3 linked regions of the Macaca fascicularis genome follow. The protein of the gene in region 2 interacts with the protein of the main gene of each other region in a biochemical or structural test. Links are inferred from orthologs where the notes say so. Each region holds a gene or a part of one and is shown on either strand. Other genes may lie near its edges. The genes, in order: SH3GL1, DNM1 and SH3GL2.

The links.
Region 1: the proteins of DNM1 (region 2) and SH3GL1 form a complex in vitro, tested with the Homo sapiens proteins (2 studies listed by BioGRID and IntAct, with this or other methods). The link is inferred for Macaca fascicularis from reciprocal best matches to the Homo sapiens genes DNM1 and SH3GL1.
Region 3: the proteins of DNM1 (region 2) and SH3GL2 form a complex in vitro, tested with the Homo sapiens proteins (2 studies listed by BioGRID and IntAct, with this or other methods). The link is inferred for Macaca fascicularis from reciprocal best matches to the Homo sapiens genes DNM1 and SH3GL2.

Annotation. Positions count from the first base shown.
Region 1 is NC_088393.1:5,135,337-5,141,919, reverse strand, and holds the start of SH3GL1 (endophilin-A2), read left to right. Parts: upstream 1-2,677; 5' UTR 2,678-2,824; coding exon 2,825-2,869; intron 2,870-6,583. UniProt on the Homo sapiens protein: Implicated in endocytosis. May recruit other proteins to membranes with high curvature.
Region 2 is NC_088389.1:15,776,753-15,783,169, reverse strand, and holds the start of DNM1 (dynamin-1), read left to right. Parts: upstream 1-2,761; 5' UTR 2,762-2,853; coding exon 2,854-3,014; intron 3,015-3,565; exon of another isoform or gene 3,566-3,838; intron 3,839-6,417. UniProt on the Homo sapiens protein: Catalyzes the hydrolysis of GTP and utilizes this energy to mediate vesicle scission and participates in many forms of endocytosis, such as clathrin-mediated endocytosis or synaptic vesicle endocytosis as well as rapid endocytosis (RE).
Region 3 is NC_088389.1:81,060,238-81,065,381, reverse strand, and holds the end of SH3GL2 (endophilin-A1), read left to right. Parts: intron 1-96; coding exon 97-227; intron 228-2,243; coding exon 2,244-2,443; 3' UTR 2,444-3,830; downstream 3,831-5,144. UniProt on the Homo sapiens protein: Implicated in synaptic vesicle endocytosis. May recruit other proteins to membranes with high curvature. Required for BDNF-dependent dendrite outgrowth.

The sequences.
Region 1 (6,583 bases), on a different chromosome or scaffold from region 2:
ACTTTAGCCCAAGTTTGAAATTCTATTGAAGTAGATTGGATAATTAAGCCAGTAGTGTTTGTTGGGAAAAGTGTGGAGAAATAGAAAATTTGGGGACACAACTTTGGGCAAGTCATATCATTGCTAAATATTTCATTTTCCCTGTCTGAGCTATGAAGATGTTTTCAACCCCTTCTCTGACATTCTGGCATTTTTCATTGATTTACAGCGGTGGATCACAGTTAAGGGCATATGAACAAGCTCTTATCAGAGCTTATCAGAGCACATCAATAAGCTCTTTCAAAGTATTCCTAATAGCCTCATAAAAATCTTGGGAAGTGAGGTTAGGGTGTATATATTCTGAAATAACCCCCTGATTGACCTAGTCTATTACCTTTTTTTTTTTTTTTTGAGACAGAGTCTCGCTTTGTAGCCCAGGCTGGAGTGCAGTGGCGTGATCTCGGCTCACTGCAAGCTCCGCATCCCAGGTTCACGCCATTCTCCTGCCTCAGCCTCCCAAGTAGCTGGGACTACAGGTATCCACCACCACACCTGGCTAATTTTTGTATTTTTAGTAGAGACGGGGTTTCACTGTGTTAGCCAAGATGGTCTCGATCTCCTGACCTCGTGATCCGCCCGTTTTGGCCTCCCAAAGTGCTGGGATAACAGGCGTGAGCCACTGCGCCTGGCCTAGTCTACTACTTTCTTTTGAGGCTTTTGGAAACTTCCAGCAATCTTCTGCTTCAAAAAATCAACAAAATCTCTCAGCGATTTCAACACTTTTAAGTACCAAGCTTTTTAACTGTAGTCATTTTCTAGTTTCTCTTTTTTGATTCATTTAGTCATTCCAATTAATTATTTCCAATTCATTTTGTACATTTTTATCAATAACGGTTGATACAAAAATCCATATCAATAACCAGGTGTCAACCTGGGAAGTCTTCCTGGAAGAGGCGACACACCACACAGCGTCCTCTTTAGGTACAAAGGGTGGAGGAAAGACTCAGGAATAATGTAGAAGAGGGAAACGATGTTAGCAGAGTCTCATAGACAGCAAGGATTATGAATTATAGAAGAGGAAGAAAGAATAGTTGAGAAGAATCTATGGGGACTGGGAACGGCGGCTCACGCCTGTAATCCCAGCACTCTGGGAGGCTGAGACAGGCGGATCACGAGGTCAGAAGATCGAGACCATCCTGGCTAACATGGTGAAACCCCGTCTCTACTAAAAATACAAAAAAATTAGCCAGGCAAAGTGGCCGGCACCTGTAGTCCCAGCTACATTCTCCCAGAGGCAGGAGAATGGCATAAACCTGGGAGCTGGAGCTTGCAGTGAGCTGAGATTGTGCCACTGCACTCCAGCCTGGGCGACAGAGCAAGACTCCATCTCAAAAAAAAAAAAAAAAAGGAAAGAAAGAAAACAGAGACAGAGAGAGTTGATGGGGCCAAATTATGCAGGCTTTGTAAAATATGTTAGGAAGTCTGGAGTGTATCCTAAGGGTGGTAGGCCGAATTAAAACAGGGGACTGGTGTGATCTGAATTGCACTCTTTTTTTCTTTAGATGGAGTCTCACTCCATCGCCCACGCTGGAGTGCAGTGGTGCGATCTCTGCTCACCGCAGCCTCCGCCTCCCAGGTTCAAGCGATTCTCCTGCCTCAGCCTCCTGAGTAGCTAGGATTACAGGAGTGCGCCAACACGCCCAGCTAATTTGTGTGTGTATGTGTGTGTTTTGTTTTTTTTTTTTTTTTGTAGAAACGGGGTTTCACCATGTTGTCCAGGCTTGTCTTGAACTCCTGACCTCGTGATCCACCCGTCTCTGCCTCCCTCACTGCTGGGACTACAGGCGTGAGCCACTGCGCCCGACCCTGAATTGCATTCTAGAAGCATCTTTCTGGCCGCCATGCCAGGGCATGAAGCCAGACCTAGATGTCTCCATGTGTCACGTGGGCAACTGAATGGATGAACACAGGACAGAGAGAGAGGAAGAGAGGTGGCCAGGCACGGTGTCTCATACCTGTGATCCCAATACTTTGGGAGGCTAGGGGAGGAGAGGGTGGATCACCTGAGGTCAGGAGTTCGAGACCAGCGTGGCCAACGTGGCGAAACCCTGTCTCTACTAAAAATACAAAAATTAGCCGAGCGTGGTGGTGCTCGCCTGTAATCCCAGCTACTCGGGGGGCTGAGGCAGGAGAACCGCTTGAACTCGGGAGGCGGAGGTTGCAGTGAACCGAGATCACGCCACTGTACTCCAGCTTGGGCGACAAAGCAAGACTCCGTCTCAGAAAAAAAGCAAAAAAAAAAAAAAAAGAAAGAAGGGGAGGGAGCCTGAACACTTAGAGGAACTGGATTTAGATTTAGCTAAGATGAGCAAACAGGAATCTGGAGAATCGTAACCAGGCAGAGGCCCCTTCTACTTCCCAACCTCCCTGGCCAGGTTTAAACTAAGCGCCTTTCCCAAGACGTTAGGGTCACCTCCGGGACTCCAGAGGGCGCTGAACCTGCTACGGCCCCTCTAGGCTCCCCCCGCTCAACTCACTGACAGAGGCGGTGTCTCCCGCGGCAGACAACGTGCACGTGCGCTCTCCAGCCGGCAGAGGGCGCGCGTGCGCAGACGGGGCCGGGGGCGCGCGCGGGGGCCGGCACCGGAAGCGTGCGGTTGCCATGTAATATCCTGGCCGCGCGGGCGCGCGAGCGGCTGAGGCGGCGCCGGGGCGGGCGCGGAGCTGGCAAGCGGCTGGCGGAGGCGGCGCCGACGGGGGCTGCTGAGGCGCGCAGAGGGTCGGCGGCGCCCGGGAGCCTGTCGCTGGCGCGGTCCGGGCGGGAGGCTCGGCGGCAGGCGGCAGCATGTCGGTGGCGGGGCTGAAGAAGCAGTTCTACAAGGCGAGCCAGGTGAGCTCAGGCCCAGGCAGGGGCCGAGTCCTGGGCCCCAGGCTGCCCGGATGAGGGGGCCAGGCCCGACCTGGCTCGGGAGGGGGCCGGAGGGACCGAGGTAGGGACGTTGGTGCGTGTCCCCCGCCGGGTGGGAAGAGCAAGGCACGGACGGGGGCGATGAGGTGGCTCAGGCCCTGCCCGCCATGCGGGCTCCAGAAGCGGGGACAGAACCCCTGGGAGGAGGGGAGAGGCACCCAGGGGCTGCCCAGGGACGCGGACCTCACCCCTCCTCCCCTCCCCTGCAAAGGCGGGGTGCGGGGAGAGAAGGGGAAGAGAGGAGTCCCGAGGCTGTCGACACAGGATTCTTGCCAGATAACCCAGAGCCAGGGAAAATTGCTTCTAGAGCAGTTCTGTTCAAAATCCTCCGGATGGGCAAGGTACAAAGTTGAAAAGGTAGAGGGAGAAGTCAGTTTCCCCTCTCTGCTCCTCGGGCAGCCAGCCCCGTCTCTCTCCCCAGAGACAGGGACTGTCATCGACTCCGTATGTCCCTTTCGTAAGATACGTGTGTGCCTTTCCTTTAAAAACACGTACACTGATAGCATTTGCCACAGAATCCTGTGTGCTGTGGTTTTCATTACTTGGAGGTCACACTGGAGCGAGATTTCTACCCCTCCGTCAGCACTGTTGACATCTGGGGCCGGATTGTTCTCCGTGGTGGGGCCATCCTGGACACTGCGGGGTGCTGAGCAGCGCCCTGGCCTCCACCCTCTCCAGGCCGGGAGCACCCCCAAGTCGTGACAACCAAAAATATCTTGAGACATCACCCTGTGTCCCCTGAGGAATAGAATCAATCTCCTTCCCTCTCTACTTTCCTTCCTTCCTTCCTCCTTTCCTCCCTCCCTGTCTCTCTCCCTTCCTTCCTTCTCTTCTTTCCTTCCTCCCTTCCTTCCCTGTCCCCCAGGACTACTGCACTAGACCATACTCCACACTTGTTGGATTTTTTTTTTTTTTTTTTTTGAGACGGAGTCACTCTCTGTCGGCCCAGCTGGAGTGCAATGGTGCAATCTCAGCTTACTGCAAGCTCCACCTCCTGGGTTCAAGCAATTCTCCTGCCTCAGCCTCCCTGGTAGCTGGAACTACAGGCATGTGCCACCGCACCCGGCTACTTTTTGTAATTTTAGCAGAGACAGGGTTTCTCCATTTGGCCCAGGCTGGTCTCGAACTCCTGGCCTCAAGTGATCCGCCTGCCTCGGCCTCCCAACGTGCTGGGATTACAGGTGTGAGCGACTGTGCTTGGCCTACTTGGATCTTTTTAATGGGTACATTGTATTTCATTCCATTAGGTGTACCATAATTTATTTAACCAGTTGTCAGTTGATAGATATTTCTGTTTACCGGAATTTTCTGCTACCATTACTACAATGAATAGCCAGTGAATATCTTTGCTCACCAGTGGGATTCGTTTTATAGGATGAATTCCCGGAAGTAGAATGTTGCATCCCAGCCTAAGTGCATTTGATTTGGACAGATAAAGGGTTTTTTGGAAAGTCCAGGACCCATTGCCCATGAATGTGGTGAAAGCTGTGGATCCACTCTCCGTAAAACTGGGCACACTTAAAATTTTCACTTTGCAACTTCAAATCTAGCAAGCCTCAAATTTGTCTGGGCACGGTGGCTCACACCTGTAATCCCAGCACTTTTGGGAGGCCGAGGTGGGAGAATCACTTGAAGCCAGGAGTTTGAGAGCAGCCTGGGCAACATGGCAAAACCCCATCTCTACTAACAGTACAAAAATTTTGTATTTTTGCCTGTAACCCCGGCTACTAAGGAGGCTGAGACAGGAGAATCTCTTGAATCCAGGAGGTAGAGGTTGCAGTGAGCCAAGATTGCGCCACTGCACTCCAGTCTGGGTGACAGAGCGAGACTCCGTCTTGGAAAAAAAAAAAAAAAAGCCTCAGATTGTTGAATCCTATTGGTCCATGCACTGCAGGGTGAGGTTGTGTGGAATTTGTGTGGATAGAGTCCACCGAGGAATGAGCAATGATGTGTTTTTTTTTTTTTTTTTTTGAGATGGAGTCACTCTGTCGCTCAGGCTGGAGTGCAGTGGAGCAATCTTGGCTCACTGGAAGCTCTGTCTCCCGGGTACACACAATTCTCCTGCCTCAGCCTCCCTTGTAGCTGGGACTACAGGTGCCGGCTACCACACCTGGCTAATTTTTTGTATTTTTAGTAGAGACGGGGTTTCACCATATTAGCTAGGATGGTCTTGATCTCTTGACCTTGTGATCTGCCCGCCTCAGCCTCCAAAGTGCTGGGATTACAGGCAGGAGCCACTGCGCCCGGCCTGAGCAATGATCTTAGCAAATGCTTGGGCCGAGGTGGCAAACAGGGTTCTCTGCCCACAGTTTGGAGAGGCCCAGTGGGAGCAAAGAGAAACAAGTCCCCAGTAACACCCAGCTGGTACCTTTTGTCCCTGGAAAGAAAAAAGTAAGGACCCTGCCAGGTGCTGTGGTTCATGCCTGTAATCCCAGCACTTTGGAGGCTGAGGCAGGGGTTCCCTTGAGTTCAGGAGTTCAAGACCAGCCTGGGCAATATAGGGAGATCTCATCCCTACAAAATATCGAAAAGTTAGCCAGGTGTGGTGATGTGCACCTGTAGTCCCAGCTACTTGGGAGGCTGAGGGGGGAGGACCACTGGAGCCCAGCAGTGCAAGGCTACAGTGAACTATGATCGTGCTGCTGCACTCCAGCCTGGACAACAAAGTGAGACCCTGTCTCAAAAAATAAAGTAACAACCCTAGTGGTTGTCTAGGGATATAGATACTTAGGGTCTATCTCTAGACCCCAGGTGATGGTTAAACCCTGGAGAAAGATTTAATCCGGATGAATTTTAGGATTGTCGCTGAGAATAGCCCCACCCCCTTGCCCCAGCAGTTTGAAATCAGATGGCCTGGCCCTGGGTTAGACCTTGCCCAGCAGGCGTCAGACCCTCACCTGCGGATTAGAGCATCGTAGAGCGCTGCTTCCTAGCAGGAAAGATGTTCTCAGAGGTCTCAGAGGAATTCCTGGGCCACTTTGTTCCGTGCCATAGACAGGTTTCTGGAAGCCACCCCCTCCTCCACCCCCAGCGATCAGGGTCTGTGCCCATGTTGTCCTGAGCTGACACCCTCTTTGGAGGAACGAGCCAGGCCTCTCACGCCAGCCACCAGGACTTTGTCTCTCTCGAGGGAAGCAGGATGACCTGCATTCAGATCTGTGAATGGCGCCTTGAAGCCTGGAAAGCACAGTGTGGTGTTAGCTGGGCTTAGGATTGCCTGTTTCCACATCCTGAGGCCTAGTCCCAAAGCACGATGGCCACAGCCCACCGTCAGGGCTGTCGTCTTGGCCTCCTGGTCAATTCTGTCTCGAGTCATGCTCTTAGAAGTCGCCCTGACTGCGTTCCTTGCTCTTCTGCGATCATTGCCATGGTTCCCTCTGACATCTCAGCTGTTATCTGGACATATCCAACTATTTGTGTTTCTTTTTTTGTTTTTAGTATAATAACAACTCTTTCACCCTCTCCTGTGCCTGTTGAAAAGTGACATCTCTCGGGATGTCTCCTTACCTAGTGGTGTGAACATTTACTGCATTCTCACCATGTGAACGGGCGGTATGCTTTATACCAGTAGGTCTCAGCTGGTCTTGCTTATCCGGCCTAAGGGTAAAAACATTCCCCCTTTTACACAAAAGGATT
Region 2 (6,417 bases):
CACTTCAGCCTGGGCAACAGAGCGAGATTCCATCTCAAAAAACAAACAAACAAAAAATACAAAAATTAGCTAGACGTGGTGGTGGCACATGCCTGTAGTCCCAGCTACTCGGGAGGCTGAGGCAGGAGAATCGCTTGAACCCAGGAGGCAGAGGTTGCAGTGAGCTGAGGTCGCGCCACTGCACTCCAGCCTGGTGGCAGAGTGAGGCTCTGTCTCAAAAATAAAATAAATAAATAAATAAATAAATAAATAAATAAATAATATTAAAAGCTCGCCATGATGCCCTCTAGGCGGACATCTATAAACTGCACCCCCTCCTGGTGCCACTCATCCAGGCTCCCATCTCTGCCTTCTTTTGTCCTCAGAGCATAATAACAGGTTGGCATGGAACAGCTGCCAGGATGCAAGTTGTGTGGCACTGATGCTCCAGCTGTCTGGTGAGCTGTCATCATTGGCATCTTCACAGCTGCAGCTTAATAAGGGTCCCCTGGCCGGGGGCGGTGGCTCAAGCCTGTAATCCCAGCACTTTGGGAGGCCGAGATGGGCGGATCACGAGGTCTGGAGTTCGAGACCATCCTGGCTAACACAGTGAAACCCCGTCTCTACTAAAAAATACAAAAAACTAGCCGGGCAAGGTGGTGGGCGCCTGTAGTCCCGGCTACTCGGGAGGCTGAGGCAGGAGAATGCCGTAAAAACCCGGGAGGCGGAGCTTGCAATGAGCTGAGATCCGGCCTCTGCACTCCAGCCTGGGCGACACAGCGAGACTCCGTCTCAAAAAAAAAAAAAAATAAGGGTCCCCTGAGCACCAGGCCTGGGCTGTGCCCTACACAGGCATTTGATCTATTATTATCCCCATTATCCAGATTAGTTAACTGAGGTTCAGAGACGTGGAGGGACCTGGGTCATGCAGCTTGTTTAAGGCCCAGATTAGGCTCCTAATCCACTCCCTTGTGCTACTAGGGAGAGGGCCTGCTTGTTCCCCATGCCTGCCTCGAAGATTCCTCCCCACAAGGGTCACTCTCTGATCACCGTCTTCACAATAGCAACACCACCCTACCCCGCCCCTGCTTTCTGGCTCTGCAGGGCACATCATCTAACAGGGCCATCGGTATTGCCCTATTTCCATATTGTCTGTCTTTTTCCACTGAATTGTCAGCCACATGTGGGTAAGAACTTTGTCCATTTTGCTCACTGCTTTATCTCTGGAGTCTAGCATAGTACCTGGCTCAACAAATCCGCATTAAATGGATGAGTAAGTGAACAGTCTTCAATTCACAGACCACTTTGTCAGCAGTGCCCCCACACTGTTCACAGCACAGGGAAATGACTCACTGACTCCCCATAAGCACAGTGTAGGCTAGCCTTCCCTTCCTAGCCTCCGCCATGAATACTAATTAGGTTTCTTAAATGCAGAGGTGGATGGCTGGGCTCAGGGCCCCATGGTCTCTCCGTGTGAAAGGGTAAGCAGGGCAGGATTGTAGGAGGCTTGGATTTGAATCCCACTGCTTTTTTTTTTTTTTTTTTTTTTGTGAGACGGAGTCTCGCTCTGTCGCCCAGGCTGGAGTGCAGTGGCGCGATCTCGGCTCACTGCAAGCTCCGCCTCCCGGGTTCATGCCATTCTCCTGCCTCAGCCTCCTGAGTAGCTGGGACCACAGACGTCCGCCACCACGCCCAGCTAATTTTTTGTATTTTTAGTAGAGATGGGGTTTCGCCGTGTTAGCCAGGTGATCTCCCGACCTCGTGATCTGCCCGCCTCGGCCTCCCAAAGTGCTGGGATTACAGGGGTGAGCCACCTCGCCCGGCCGAATCCCACCGTTTTATGCTGTTTTACCACCATCCTAATGGGCTGGAGCAAAGACTTCCAACTCTAGGGCAAGAGCTTCCAATTCTCCCAAGAAGGGCCTTTCAGGCATCAGGGCCTCTGCACTTGCTGGTCATTCAGCCTGGCATGCTCTTCCCCCGATCTGCTTGCTGCTGGCTCCTTGTCATCGTTCTGGTCTCTTCTTAAATGTCACTTCTGCAGAGAAGTCCCCCGACTCCTCCCAAGTCAATGTGAACTTTCCACACCCACAATGATACCTTTTTTTCACACTGTTTATTTCCTCCATCCCTGTTACTATAAACTATTTTCATTTTTACTGTTTTGTGTATCTGCTTATCCATTTAGTGTCGATCTCACCAGCTTGATGCAAGATCTATGAGGGCAGAGGCCTTGGCTGTCTTATTCGTTGCTCAATCTTCCGTGCCTAGGACAGGGCCTGGCTTCTAGCAGGTACCTAGTAAATATTTGTTGAATTCATGCTCCAACTTTCTCCTTCTAGAAACAAGGAAACTGAGGACCAAAGGCAGAAAGGGACATGTTGGAGATCAGAGTCAGGATCTAGGGGTCGAAGGCAGCGAGGTGAAGGGGAACTCCAGGTCAGGAAGCTGTGACCTCAGAGGAAGCCCATCTACTCTCCAGGCCTCAGTTTCCTCATCGGTAAGATAGAGTGAAACATCCATGACCACTATCCAAGAGGCCTGGTACTAGGAGTGAGACCCCACCCATTGACAAATATATTCTGCGCAGCATCCGTCCGCGCACCCTAGACACTGCTAAAGCACCCCGAAAGCCGCAGAAGGTTAAAACTACGACACCCATGGTGCCCCGGGCGGCGCCTGCGCACGGCGGCCGGCCCGCAGCGTCGCGGGCTCCCCCTAGCGGCTTCCCGGAGCGGTGCTCGCTCCGATCCCCGAGGGGCGGGGGCCGCGCGGCTCAGGCAGTCGGGGCGCGAGGCTGCAGCGGCGGAGCCGGAGTCGGAGCCGGGAGCGCGAGCGGCAGCCGGATCGCAGCCTGCGGGGCCCGCCGCAGCCATGGGCAACCGCGGCATGGAAGATCTCATCCCGCTGGTCAACCGGCTGCAAGACGCCTTCTCTGCCATCGGCCAGAACGCGGACCTCGACCTGCCGCAGATCGCCGTGGTGGGCGGCCAGAGCGCCGGCAAGAGCTCGGTGCTCGAGAATTTCGTAGGCAGGTAGGCGCGGCGCGCCCCCAGGCGCCGACCCCCGACCCCCAGGATCCCCGGAGTCCCTGCCCGGGGCACCGACGGCGCGGCGACCTCGCAGCCCCCGACGCTGCACCCGCGGCCGGCGCGCCCCCCACCCCCAGCCGGAGCGAGGCGGCCCTCCCCACCTCGAGAGCCCCTCCGGGCAGCAGCGCCGCCCGCTAGTCTGCAAACGTCGTCAAGCCTCCGGCTGCCGAATCACGCCCCCTCCTCCGTCCCATCCTTTAGGGCAGACAACCCTCTGACAGAAGCCCTGGCCAAAGGGCTGCCCCCCGCCCCCAACATGGGCATGGAGAGAGCCCGCATTACTCAGCGCCTCCGTTGGGCTCCGGGAGTCCCTTGGAGCGGGCAGCACCCGGGGGCAGCGGCCCCCCCACCGGACTCTATGGGGGACATCCTCCTACCCCCATGGGAATTCCTGGGCCGTGGCAGGGGTCAGACCCCCACCCCAGTCCCTAAAAGAGGACGTAGTCCCGTGGGCATCGAGGACCCGGTACGGCCTCCCCCCGGCACACACACACCTCTGCGGCTCCCGCCGCCATCCGTGCGCAGCGCGGCGGAGAGGGGGAGGCGCGGGCTGCAGGATGAGGAAGGGAAGAGGGGAGGAGAAACCACTTCTTATCCTTCTCTGAGCAGCCGGCCCCTTGCTTCGCCACGGCCCCTGGGTGGGGGGCGCCTCTCAGTGTCGCCGTCCCCTTGGCCTGGCCAGAGGGATCGTGATGGAGGGAGAGGCGGCAGAGGGCAGAGATGACTAAGACCGGGATGGCGGGAGGGGGGAGCCATTTGCAGAACCTAATCCCCCTCCCGCCTCTGATCCCACAAGGCGCTGGGAGGCCTAGGTGGCGGAGAGGGGAGCAACCACAAAGACAAAGGGTCCTGGGATTACGGGGGCAGGGAGGGTCGTGACCCCCAGGCTCTCCCCAAACCCCCAGGGGGAGGAAGAAACAGTTTTTCTGGTGCTGAGGACAGAGAGGAAAGATAGGAGCTCTCCAGGTACTGGAGGTGAGATGGGGGGCTGGGCAGACTGGGAGACGAAGTGAGAGAGTTTACACTGACCCCCTCTTTCATCTCCCCCCCATCTTCTTCAGAAACCCTTGCTTTCTTCCAATGACCTTCAGGGCCAAAAAAGTGACTGGCACATGGGAGAGGGAGGCAGGGGTCCTTCTCCGCAGAGGGACAGCAATTCTGTCCAAGCCAGGTTCTGCTGCAAAACCTCAGGCAAGTCACTTGCCCTCTCTGAGCCTTAGTGTCCCCATCTCTAACATGGACAGTGGGACTAGATGGTTGTTCCTGCCCCTCAAATGTCCTGGGAAACCCATGCCAGCCCTAGAGGTGAGAGGGAGAGGGCCTGACTGGAGCCACGTATGTGTGGGATGTTGGAATGCCACCGTGGAGGCGGCCGTGCCCATCTGGTCAGCAGAGGGGGAGGCATCTGTCTCTCCGATGGCTCCTGCAGAACCCCCCTTCTGATCACATGACCCCCAGAGCTGCAGAGACCCAGGCAAGAGACACACAATGAGCCCCTTCCCCAAGGGCCGGCAGTCAGGGACAGCCAACAGTTTAGAGTGGAGAAACCATATTCCTACCTCTCCTCCTTTGAATGTTGGCTGAATTCCTGCCCCACGCCAGGCTGCGTGCTCCAGGCTTGGGGTAGGGAGGGAACCAACTGGTGATTTCAGCCCCCGTCTACTGAGTCCATCCTATGTACCCCCTATGCTGAATCAGTCATAGGCTCACAGGAGCTCCCAAGAGGCAGGCACCATGATGCCCATCCTACAGATGAGGAAACTGAGACCCTGGAGGTTAAATGCCTTGCCCAAGGTCACACATTCAGGAAGGGCAGCAGCTGTTAGACTCCAAAGCCCAGTTCCTAATCTCGACGCTGCACATCCTCTGAGAGCCGGATCCTGCACCAGACACAGGGACAAGCGGGTGGGTGGGCCTCCATTTCCCCATCTGTGGAATGGGAACGCTGACAGCCACTGCCCTGCCTTCCTGAGAAGGTGACTGTGGGCTCCACTGAGTTCATGGGTGGAAAGGTTCTTTTGTAAATATGCGGGACAGGGCGTTGATAGCCAATTAGGCTTGGGGACCTGCATGTCCAGCCCCTGCCCTCCTGGAGCCCATGATGCAGGGGCCAGCCCTGACCACGGCAGATTTCAGCAAGTACTTGCTGGCTGAGTGGCGGAGCAGGGTGTGGACTGTACCCCAGGAGGCCTGGGCCCTCTGGCTGCCCTCTGCACCCCAATGCCCTTGGCCAGGTCCCCACAGGAGGATGTGCAGGGTGTCCAGATGCAGGCTCAGGGCAGGGGAGGGGGCTTAGGTTGATGTGAAGGAGTAGGCAGGAAAGCATTCATGATCCCCTGAAAGCTAGTGAGAAGGCCAGGGAAACTGAGGCTCAGTGGGTTCCACCATCTCAGCCTGACAGCTCCTTCAAGGGCTCCTGACCTCTCCAACAGGGCTCAGTCCCCAGCCTGGTGAGCATAGTAACAGCCATTCTGTCTCCTGGGGCTTCCCAGGAGCCAATCCCCCACGGAAAATGCTTCAAAGGAAAATGCATCAGGGCTGTCCCAGGTCCACCTGGGCTTCTGGGCGCTCAGAAGGATCTTGCTGTCAGCTCTGCAATGGAGGTAGCGTTGCAGCTGCCCGGGATGCTGCTAGAACTTGTCTAGGTCTATACTGTTTCTTCACCCCCTTCCCTTTTACAGAAGGGAAAACTGAGGCTAATTCATTCAGTCATTTAGTAAACATTTGTGGAGGGTGCACGATGTCTTGGCACTATGGTGGAAAAGACCAAGGCTCTGCATTGCAGAGGGAGAAACTTAGAAGACAACTGGAAAATGTGGTCAACGTCAGGGAGGGGAGCGGGGCTGCTCTCCCAAGGGAGGTCAGAAGTCTCCGGGAGGAGGTGGCATCTGAGATGAGAACCGAGGGATGAGAAGCTGTGTAACTTGCCGGGGTGGGAGAGTTCCGGGCCGAGGGAAAGGTGCAAAGGCCCTGGGGTAGCAAAGAATTTGGTGCCTTTGAGGAACAGAAAGGACCCCCTGTAGCTGGTGTTTGGCTAGCAAGGGGGAGACAGGACCTGAGAGACAGGCAGGGGCTAGATCTACAAAGCCCTTAGGCCACGAGGAGTGAGGAGTTTGGGTTTATTTTCTCTCTTGTGGGAAGCTTTTTAGTAGTGGATTGACTTGAGCTGATTCTAGCAAGGGTGTGACTTGGGGAGGGGGTGAGGGAAAAGGCAGGAGACTGGTGCGGAGGCTGCTGCAGTGGGCAGAGGGCAGTGGAGGTCCCGAACGAGGGCTTTAGCTGCAACGAGAAGGAGAACGGTGGGTAGGTTTCAGGATATATTTTGGAGGAAGTCCTGCTGGAGGAT
Region 3 (5,144 bases), about 65 Mb from region 2:
GTGGGTGACCCAGACATTTCCTGAATCTTTATATTTCCTTTTGTTTTTACTTAACTGGCCACATAACCTTTCCCACCTCTTTTCTTTTTCCTGCAGAATAAGACAGGCCTCAGCTCAGCCTAGAAGGGAATATCAACCTAAACCACGAATGAGCCTGGAGTTTCCAACTGGAGACAGTACTCAGCCCAATGGGGGCCTCTCCCACACAGGCACTCCCAAGCCTTCAGGTAAGGAGCTGAGACGGCAGATCCTATTGCATAGGCCTTGGCACATGCATTGGCACTCTTCCAGAAATTTTAGGAATAATCCAATCTGGCTGCATAGGAAATATGCAGTAATAGATTTCTTATGGAGTGGTTTGTCAGGTAGAAACTGTGTTAAAGGAATCCTTTTGTCTTTTTTCATTTACCTTTTCTTTCCTTCCTTTTAATTCTGTATAAAACTTTATTTGTATATCCCTTTCTCTCTCAATCATCAGCACACATGAACACATTTTATTTTGACCCTCCTTTGTGGTCGTAAATTGCCTTTCCTTGTCAGTTTGGTCTGCGTGTGTCATCTTTTCTCCTTCCTGTTCCCTCTGAATCCAGCCTGTATGACAATGAATGCCCCTGGACAGTGTGTCCCCATATGCATTCACATAGAGCCCACAGACGGCAAGCGGCTCCAGAAATGTGCTGATGAGCTGGATTTCTTGAGTCACAGAAGCATATGGTTAAATATATTTGCAGAAGATATTTTGAAACTCGACACTTGCTGGGTTTTCTTTCCCGTGCCTCACCTCTGATCACTTTATCATGCTGTGGCACTGGGGTTGATATAATAAAAGCTAGATGATATTTTATCTCAGGAATATCGATGCATACCTAATAGAGCATTCTTTTCCTTGTCACGCTTGCTCTCCACTCCCTACATGCAGATTACACAACAGCCTGTGCTGGAGACATTTTCAACCTCCACATTTGCTTGTTTGAAGTGGGAACTGTCTTATACTGGATGTGGATGTTAGAGATAGACAGCTTTCTTTTATTTTTCCTGTATCCCCAGTGCTTGATGTTCTACGGTAGAAAACTGTTTGTAAGATGCTCTCAGTTATTAAGAAAAAAAATAAGATCTGAGCCAGCAGGTGGCGCTCTCTGCCCTTTGTGCTCAGCACTTCTGGGCATGGCATAAGCAGCTGTGGCTACTGATGCTGGCCACCAGGACTAGTCATAGAAATTGTGTATAGCTGTGCTTCTCCCTGCCTGCAGACCAGCCATATATTTCACTTTTCATCTGGAGACTCAGTCATTTGCTTCTTTCTCTAAATCATTGTTTCCTTTCCAGCCACCTAGATGGCATGGGAGCTGTGTGCACTTGTCTGAGTCTGTATCTACATATGTATGCATCTAATACTAATGCAGTGGGTCATTTGGAATAGATCCCTCTTAAGATATGATTTCATCCTTCATTATTTTACTCGAGGTAGAGTACATTATTTTTGTATGCCGTAGCTCCAGTGCACTGCCTATATTTATATATGCAACAGTTTACCAAGTATAAATTATATAATTTTTTTTACATAATCTCATTTAGTAGCCACAGTAGTAATGTGAAGTAAGTCCTACTGTTACATCCAATTTCAGACAGTGAAACTGAGAGTGAAGTGCCCTGTGTAAGGTCACAGAAAGTAAAAACTTGAACTCAGTGTTTTATATTATTCTGTTGTTACCACGTTACAGCAGTTTTCCAGAGGCTGGGATTATCATTTTAAACAGCGATAACCAAACTGTTACTCAAAAACATTCTCCATGTAATTAACCATACTTTTTCAAATATGCAAAGATTTTAAAGTGCTCACATGAGACAATTCAGGCCATGCTGTGTTATTAACCTACATCATTATATTCTTTTTAAGTCATTGTCCCTCCTATTTCTGGGCATTATCACAAAGGCAAACTTTAACGAAATCTGTTGTATGTATCACAAGAATAGTTGTGACCGTTTTTCATACTGGAAACAGAAACAGGAATAAACAGCAACTTCCAAAGGTCCGAGAAAGCTTCTGAGGACTGGTAGAGGGCAAGATGCCCAATGAGTGTACACTGAGGTCCAGTAGCAAGAAGAAGCTTCAACAGGAAGAGGAATGAGGGAGGAAAGACGGGGAGCAGCAAGCCAGGTGGGTGCAGCAGGCAGCAGATTCTGTGAGTTAAATACCCCTTATCCTTGTGTGTTCTTCTTTTCTCTCCTGCTCTTACTCCCAGGTGTCCAAATGGATCAGCCCTGCTGCCGAGCTCTGTACGACTTTGAACCTGAAAATGAAGGGGAGTTGGGATTTAAAGAGGGCGATATCATCACACTGACTAACCAAATTGATGAGAACTGGTATGAGGGGATGCTGCATGGCCATTCAGGCTTCTTCCCCATCAATTATGTGGAAATTCTGGTTGCCCTGCCCCATTAGGATGTTATGCTGGCTGGCTCACCTCCTCTTGACTCAGATAGTTACGGTTAACCACTGCTTTGGTAATGCTGCTTATAACACATCCCAAGTGCAGGCCGCAGTGGTCCACGTCATCCAGCCCCACCAAGTGTATTTGGTTGACTTGTGGGCTCCCACAGGAGTCATGGTGATGGATGATATCCTCTTAGCCTGGTGGGCATGGCATGTGCTTTTTAAAACATCATCTGAGACCAGCCAGTAGTCACAGAACTGCTGTTTACACAGTTCTCAGGAGGCTGTGGTTTCTTAGAATATGACCATGAGCCACATCACAGAAAAACCTTCCCACCGAAGATATTGTCTATCACCCCAGGGGGCATCTGAAGGTCTTTTTGCATTTCTCCATGCAAAGAGGAGAAAGTTTTTGCTTTCACACTGTCCCTTCCCAAATATGTGAGTCATGGAATTGTCAAAGTAAGCCTTCCCTCACCAGCAAATTGTCTCCTGATCTGAATGAATTTGTCTCTTAATGCATCCCTAGAAAAGTGTTAATTGTGGGTTCAAAGCATTCTCTGCAAACAGGCATCTCAGCTCTTCACACTTATGGCTATTTCTGAGGTATAGCCAGTTTTCTTCCCTCCTTGCTACTAAAGCCAGAGCGGTAATTCCAAATTATTTTTCAGTAAGACAGTTAATCAGCATTATTGTGAGAGAGGCTGAAAAGAAATTCTCCATTATGAGGAAATGGGAAGAAATCTGGTATCCAAGCTTAAATTTCTTGGTGTACAGAAACTCTGTATGTATTTAGGCTATTTCTGAAGGGCACAGGGAAGGGGGAACAAATCTCTTCAGTTATATTTGTGAATTACATGTTTCATGAATCCATTTGGCACAGAGACACGAGGAGGAAAACACTAGTAACCATCTTTCCACTAGTTCATAGACTGAGAAACAGTAAATACCTTTCCTTTCCACTTTTACCCTGTGTTCTTTGAACATCATTTGTGCAGATTCTGCCCTCAATGAGGACCAAATAAAGATGATTTTTGTGCTTAGCAGTTTAAGGTATATGGCTGCATATGCAAAACTCTTTCCCAATTCAGTCGCTACTTTTACTTCTGCCCCTTCTATCCATAATCTTCATTTTGTGTATACAGTGCTGTGTGTAAGCTTATCAGTGTTTTTTTGTTTTTGTTTTTGTTTTGTATCAGTCATGAAAGTCCTGTTAGGTATCCAGAGTTCTATTTATCTAGCTGTACAGACTCTTTCAGAGGTTTAACGTGCTGCTTCCGATGTGCCACCTGCAGTAGCGGATCATGTGGAGTGAAAGGCAAATCTTACTGCTTAATGTATAAACTCTCACCACAGGAAGCATCGCTGTTTCCAATAAATATTGCTGAAGACAGAACCAAAGGCTCTGCTTCTTCATTTTGTGTCAGTTCTTTGGGTCTAACAATGGGTGGATGGGGGCTGGTTTCAGTCTCCATTGCTTTCTCATGCAGCCAAACAAGACCTGGTTCCAACTTCATATCTATCTCTTTATATGTAGGAAAAGTTTCAGCAGCAAGGATGTAGCTAGCCTGGACATTGGGATCTTCCTGGTAACCCCAGGAAGGAGGAGAATTTGGGAGAGAAGAAAGTAAGGAGAATTTCGTCTCATAGATGTTAAATGATATATTGTTAAAAGTGATATCATCTGAAGAATATAATGTTAGGAAGGGGAAATAAAATATATCTCTTCAACTAGCCTTTTATTTTATTTCATAATTGAAGATAAAGAAATAGACCTGGAAATATAGTTTGATCGAAAGCCAGTATTAGGCCAGGTGCAGTGGCTCACACCTGTAATCCCAGCACTTTGAGAGGCCAAGGCAGGTGGATCAACTGAGGTCAGGAGTTTGAGACCAGCCTGGCCAACATGGAAAAATCTTGTCTCTGCTAAAAATACAAAACTTAGCTGGGTGTGGTGGCGCATGCCTGTAATCCCAGCTACTCAGAAGGCTGAGACACGAGAATCACTTGAACCTGGGAGGCAGAGGTTGCAGTGAGCCAAGATCATGCCATTGCACTCCAGTCTGTGTGACAGAGTGAGACGTTGCCTCCAAAAAACAAAACAGGCCAGGCGCGGTGGCTCAAGCCTGTAATCCCAGCACTTTGGGAGGCCGAGACGGGCGGATCACGAGGTCAGGAGATCGAGACCATCCTGGCTAACACGGTGAAACCCCATCTCTACTAAAAAATACAAAAAACTAGCTGGGCGAGGTGGCGGGCGCCTGTAGTCCCAGCTACTCAGGAGGCTGAGACAGGAGAATGGCGTGAACCCGGGAGGCGGAGCTTGAAGTGAGCTGAGATCCCGCCACTGCACTCCAGCCTGGGCGACAGAGCGAGACTCCGTCTCAAAACAAACAAACAAACAAACCAAAAAAACCCAGTATTCTCTTGATGTATATGTTTGGGTGTGGGTGGGAATAGGGGAGCAGCAGGGCACACAGAATATGTATTTTCTGAATTCCCAAGAAAATGAACATGTTCTTTGTGTATTAGGGGCCATTTCTATTATTTTGTGAAGAGGCCAATAGTCCAGATTTTCTAATCTAACATGAATAGTTTTGTAATCAAATATACTAAGTTTCTATTAGTCCATTTTCATACTGCCATGAATAAATACCCGAGACTGAGTAATTTATAAAAGAAGAGATTTAATGGACTTGCAGTTCCACAT